2 linked regions of the Kluyveromyces lactis genome follow. The protein of the gene in region 2 interacts with the protein of the main gene of each other region in a biochemical or structural test. Links are inferred from orthologs where the notes say so. Each region holds a gene or a part of one and is shown on either strand. Other genes may lie near its edges.

Region 1 (3,749 bases), on a different chromosome or scaffold from region 2:
CAATGCTTTGTTTAGATCGCAGCTTCGGCATAAACTGTGGGTTAACTTCATCATCAAACGTTTCGCTGGAGCTTACAGACCCCGGAGTAGTAACATTACTCGATGATTTGTACTTCACAGTATCTTCCTCCTCAGAAATATTTAAAGGCCCGCATATATCTTGCAAAACACTTGTGCTATTGTTCGAAACAACTGATACCTCATCTTTAATCTTCGCGTCAAACATTTTGTTGATCCGTTTTATTCGTGAGTCACTAATCTTTCTCTGGGGAGACCGCAGATTGAGAAATTCAGGCATTGAACTCATATTATCGCATCAGCGTAATATTCAACTCCGAGCTTTGAAGTAGCACATATGCATTGGATATTTCCTTTTCGTGTGATTATAGGCGATGTTTCACCGAGGAAATTTCGATTGTGTATTTTTAAAGGTTTACAAAAATCCAAACCTTTAAATGTTGATATTATGCATCGGAACATGTAGAGGTAACACCGAAAGTGATATGCACCTAACTGGTCACCTAATTTCTATGACAGAGAGAAGGTCCATGATACTGTTTTTTGAGCACAGTTTTTACTTTTATCGTGGTTCAAAACTGCAAATAAGACTTGGGCCCTTTAATGACATAGAATTCTGTTTCACAATGAAGGGAGAAGTGTAGATTAATAATACTATAGATAGATTACATTAATGCAAAAATTATATGATATTTAACAGGCGCGTAGTATTCATTTATTGTCTAGAATAAAAAAAGCAAATGTAATTACATGACACACGCACAGCTAGAGTTGGTTTTAATTGAAGTTGAATTGCTGGTTGACATTTGATCCAAATCCAAAAGTGTTACCAGCTGTTTGTGGAGCCATAGATTCATCAACAACATCATCTTCATCACTAAAGTACTTTTCAATGATCTTGAAGGCCTTTTCGTAAATTTTTTCGTTAGCATTAGACTGTAAATTGAAGATCTTTTCCATACCACCAGCTTTCTCAATGAAATCAGCATTTTCGTTCACGGCAATACCTCTGACTTCTCTATCCATTTCACCCATCTTCAAAATATTTTCTATAGCATCTAGTGTAACCTCTATGATTCTGTTATCAGCAATCTCTAATAGATCGCACAATGGTTTTATACAGCCTTGACTGACCAAATATCTGATAATTTCTGGCTTGTGTAACCCACCAGAAGAGGCATTCGAGATGGCCCAACATGCTTCTTTCTTTGTCTTATATTCTGCAGTTTCCAACAATCTGATTAATGGTGGAATTAAGTTAGCATCAATAACGGCTTGAATCTGTTCCGTATTACCAGCGGTTATATTAGAGATGGTCCAACAAGCTTCCTTTCTTATGGATTCCTTTGGAGAAGCCAATAGATTTCTTAGAGCTGCCAAGGCTCCACAGTTGATAACGATCTGAGTTTGCAAATCGTTACCTGTGACAATGTTACCTACAGCTCTTAGAGCAGGGGTTTGCACTAACGTAGATTGGTGGGATAGTAGTTCTACAAGTCTCTTTGGGATTCTAGCATCTACTACCGCTTGGATCGAATTAACCGGGCCATCGGAAAGATATGAGATAGCCCAACAAGCATCGACTAACGTTTCAGTATCCATGGAGTAGATTAGCTTAGACAAAGTTGGCAAAGCTTGAGACACGATAGACCAATCTGGTTGAGGTTTCTTACCACGACACAAGTTAGATAAAGTCCACGTAGCTGTTCTAATCAAGGAAGTCTTGTTCAATTCGAACAAATATAGAATTGGTTGCATGGCACCACATTGCAAAACGTAGTCTCTATAATCGGTGGAATCACCAGCAACGTTACCCAAGGCCCAAATAGCTTGTTCCTTCACTTCAACCGAGTTTGAATATAATAATTGAATGAATAATGGCACAGCACCCGCATCTACGACGACTCTAGTCTGCTCAGAAGTACCAGAAGCAATGTTCGTCAACGCCCAAGCAGCTTCCAATTGCAACATCTCAGGTTGATTTTCGCTCATGAATTGGACCAAGGTTGGCACTACGCCAGTACTGATAACCAAATCGATAGGTGGTCTGTGTTCTCTAGACAAGACTTGTCTAAACTTGACCGTCACAGCCAACTGTTGTTGTAGATCGTTAGAATGGATTTGTTCCAACATAGCAGGCAACTCCTGTTGTAATTGTCTGTAGAAAGAGGAGTCCTGATCGTCATCATCATCATTTTCATCATCAGAATCGTTACCAACAGGCGCATTGAAATTTCTTCTTTTTGCTAATGCCTCATCCCTCTTGACTTTTCTCAACTCGACTTGTTGAACGTCTCTACGACGACGTAATTCATCAGCAGAGAATCTACCCTTATTCTTGAAGTTTGTCCTCCTGTATTCAGGAACAAACTTGCTGGAAGTGTCACCGTCCATCTTTCACTTATAAAATAATAAAACGGATACCTGCTATCTGATCCTTCGTGCTAGCCGCGAACCAAAGAAAATTCAGAGAAGTAAAAAAAAAGATTGTAACTAATTCCTTTCTACCAAACTCACAATCACAATTGATCGTCCCGTCTTTTCAAGTAGATATTTTTGCAAATGGGTTCCAAATCAAACAAAAATAAAGAGAAGTTGGATTTAAAGAAGAAATTATCAGTCGCAAAATCAATCTCTAACAATCACAAATAGCGTTTCCCCTTGAGTAAATGAAAATCTGATTCGTTTCTTTGTATTGCTTGACAGAAAAATATATCGGAAGCCAAGAGCACCGTATTGTTTTATATATGTAACAGTGTAATTGAAGTAGAATGCAAACCAATCTTTTATTCAATCCCATATAATATCCATCTTGATTAAAATCCTTCTTTTTTGGCCATCCAAAAAATTCGAATTTTTTTTTTTGGTTGAAATTTCTTTGCCAGATAGTCGTGATGTACGGAGTTGTCACGTGACATACCAACCTCGTGTAAGAAAACGACAAAGGTTCTAACATCAAAAGACAGGAAAAGATGGGCAGGGTCAATTTGACACACTTTTCAACACATATTAAGAGATGTATATACGTATACATAATATATTTGGGATGGTTGGTAATATAAATATATCACCGGGGATTCCTTGTTTTCGTTCCTCATTCATTCTCATGATACACACACACTAAAGTATACATGAGGGTAAGTTGATGAGAGTAGAAGCGAAAGAATTGTGATACAATCAACTAGCATAAGTTCCTTTTTCTATTTCCCCCTTTAGTAAGCATCAAAAATACATTCACTGGGTATTGGAGATGGATGGAATGATTTGAGGGAGAGAAAAAGGAATGGACAAAACCGCTCAGTTGATGTTTTATTGACATGTTCTCTCTAGCAGCATTTTGAAAATGTCCCTCACAAATAAATGAGTGCTCGAATGAACAGGCGGGAAAGATTCAGAATTCAACGCCAAGAAAGAAACACGGTTCACCTACTGCACTCCATTCCTTTTTGTTATATATATACTCCAAATATCGACGATTATGAATTTTCACAACACACACACTGCTGTACGGTTCATAAACGTCAATTTTTTTTCATTCATGAAATGGAATAATTTTCAAATTAGGACACAGATAGATGAGATTGAGTAGTATATACTGTGTTAATTTAACACAATACACTTACACTCAAAACAAAAAATTTGTTAGCACGCGACACGACACACGACACACATTCACGACACGCAGCAACGACATAGGTAAGGTAGTAGAATAATATAGGTAATTCATGGAA
Region 2 (2,786 bases):
CCTACCATAATAGCATACAATAAAATAACCATGTGTAAGTCGATTGTTATTCGATATAATTGCCTGATAGATTATATATGCATATGTATATATATACATTTGAACTGCCAATTACCTTTTCAGCAGTGCATTGTTGTAGTGAGTAGAAGATGCAACGAAATGTACAAGAAGTGAAAGAGTATGCTGATCAAATTCCTAAATCATTGAGCGTCTTTTCTGTTCTTATCTCTATAAGCGCTGTAATCTGGCTGGACTTCGTATGCATTCGGACTTGGTGGACGTTTTTGCTCAAGCTTTTTTCTCCGCCTTTCGAGTCTTGCCTTTCTTCTTTCGTCAAAGCTTTTTCCCTCATCCTCGTCTGAAGAAGACGAAGATGATGAAGACGATGAATCATGTCCATGATTATGATCGTGCTCGCACTCTCCTTCCTCTTCTTCATCACTCTCTAATGGGGTATTAGGATGGAAAATGCAACAAATCTTAGTTTTCTTCTTGTTCATGTTCTCATTATCTATTACTTTCTCATCCCATCTTACTTTAGACTTGGTGTCCTTCTTCTTAGTTTTGTTTTTCTCATTCTGGCCAGCACGCAATTGAAGCAGCTGCGGAACCTCCGTAACAGTGACGGTATGCGTTCCTTCAGGAAGAGCAGAAGGTCCTTCACTCATATGTTAGGAAATATTTCAAAGTTTAATTATGATGATGGATCAAACTGATAAAAAAAGCGTGACGATAGGTAAAGTTTTCCTGTCTAAGTCTTGATAATCTTTCGTAATTTCACTTATCAAAGGACTGGGAACAAAGTATGAATAATGTAAGAAATCGTTTCCTATTTCTAAAATCTTCGGCGTCAATAAAACGGAATATTTTCTTCAACAAGTCGTGCTCTCGAGTATTTGACTGTACTAGACCATGGAGCTTCGCTTTGTATATGAGATATCCATGTATGCATAGAAGTACTCCAGTCTCATCTCATTTTTAAAGGGAAGAAAGAGGTTAAATATCTGAAGGTCAGAAAGTGGTGATGTTCGTTAATAATGACTACTAAATCCATAAGCCAAAAGAAAGATCGTAACTTTGTAATGCAGTGGCAAACAGTTTACAATTGATAAAGGTATAAGCAGATAATTCGTCAAGAATTCTCATCTCTGTACGTGTGGTATCCATAAGTCATTATTAGCAGTATTAGATACACAGTAATTGAAATCTACAAGACAATTGCATACTTCTCAGGAAAGAATAAGAATTTCAATTTGTTGGTACTTTATTAAGGAAGTATTATATCAAGAAACAGAACGCTGATACAAAAGCCAATTTATCGTCTCCGCAATTCAAATCCTTCAACAAAAGATGGAAAGTTTACAAAGAATGATGATGTCTCAAAGAGCAGGCATGATGGGTGCCAATGCCACCGAGGTTCCCCTTGATGACACCAAGGAAACTGTGTACATTTCTTCTCTTGCATTGTTGAAGATGTTGAAACATGGGAGAGCTGGTGTTCCAATGGAAGTCATGGGTCTTATGTTGGGAGAATTTGTTGATGATTATACAGTAAACGTTGTCGATGTGTTTGCCATGCCTCAGTCAGGTACAGGTGTTTCTGTCGAGGCTGTTGATGATGTTTTTCAAGCTAAGATGATGGATATGTTAAAACAAACAGGAAGAGATCAAATGGTTGTCGGATGGTACCATTCACATCCGGGTTTTGGTTGTTGGTTATCTTCAGTAGATGTGAATACTCAGAAATCATTTGAACAATTAAACAGCAGGGCTGTGGCGGTGGTTGTTGATCCTATTCAATCGGTGAAGGGTAAAGTGGTCATTGATGCATTCAGACTAATTGACCCTTCTACTGTCATGAGAAACCAGGAACCAAGGCAAAATACTTCTAATATCGGGTTGATCAACAAACCGAATATTCAAGCGTTGATTCATGGTCTAAATAGGCATTATTACTCGCTTAATATCGATTATCACAAGACTTCCGCCGAAATGAACATGTTAATGAATCTACATAAGGAACAATGGCAATCGGGACTAAAAATGCATGATTTCAAGGAAAGAGAGGAGCACAACTTGGGTGAAACTCAGAAAATGATTAAGATCGCTGAACAATTCACTAAGAGAATTGAGGAAGAGAGAGAATTGAGTGAAGAAGAATTGAAAACGCGTTATGTAGGAAAACAGGATCCAAAAAGACATCTTGCAGAGACTGCTGAAAAGCTCTTGGAAGACAATATAGTATCTGTATTAACAGCGGGTGTTAACTCTGTTGCTATTAAATAACCATCTTACATACAGTAAAAATACATCAACTTCAATTTGCGAGATAAGTTTTAGCCGATGAAATGATGAATCGATCCAAGAGTGTAGATAATCTGAATAACGAAAGCAGTTTCTAAACGCGTTGCCATATTTGAATGTAACATTCTTTAAGGAAAAGAAACTCTTTCTCAACCTTATTCACTTCAATGTCATCAAACTCGTACCATTGGTCGCGTAAAGTATCAGCGAGGTGTACTTTCCATCTGCTGGCTAACAAATCTTCTGTATCCGATATTTTCATTTGTATTACGCAATCATGGGTGATATTTACTAGTAATTTATAGTGTACACCACTGAATTCTAATTTTTCAGAGAACTCTACTAGAGTTTTGTTTCTATCTTTAATGGAAGTGAAGCCTTTGTCAAACCTGTTGAAATGAAGTATTAGGAATTTAGGATGCTTCAATATACGGTACGTTTTGATGGAATCTTTGGTATGGTATTCTGTTTCGCCATTGAAT

Evidence for each region. The genes of interacting proteins can lie anywhere in the genome.
Region 1: the proteins of RPN11 (region 2) and SRP1 form a complex in vitro, tested with the Saccharomyces cerevisiae proteins (2 studies listed by BioGRID). The link is inferred for Kluyveromyces lactis from reciprocal best matches to the Saccharomyces cerevisiae genes RPN11 and SRP1.

What each region holds. Positions count from the first base shown.
Region 1 is NC_006040.1:729,394-733,142, forward strand, and holds SRP1 (karyopherin alpha), read right to left. Parts: upstream 2,413-3,749; coding exon 796-2,412; downstream 1-795. Other genes in the region: KAR1 (Kar1p), read right to left, coding at 1-307. UniProt on the Saccharomyces cerevisiae protein: Functions in nuclear protein import as an adapter protein for importin beta nuclear receptors. Binds specifically and directly to substrates containing either a simple or bipartite NLS motif. Promotes docking of import substrates to the nuclear envelope.
Region 2 is NC_006041.1:1,251,380-1,254,165, reverse strand, and holds RPN11 (proteasome regulatory particle lid subunit RPN11), read left to right. Parts: upstream 1-1,350; coding exon 1,351-2,286; downstream 2,287-2,786. Other genes in the region: type 1 protein phosphatase-activating protein YPI1, read right to left, coding at 201-668; mRNA splicing protein SAD1, read right to left, coding at 2,399-2,786. UniProt on the Saccharomyces cerevisiae protein: Component of the lid subcomplex of the 26S proteasome, a multiprotein complex involved in the ATP-dependent degradation of ubiquitinated proteins.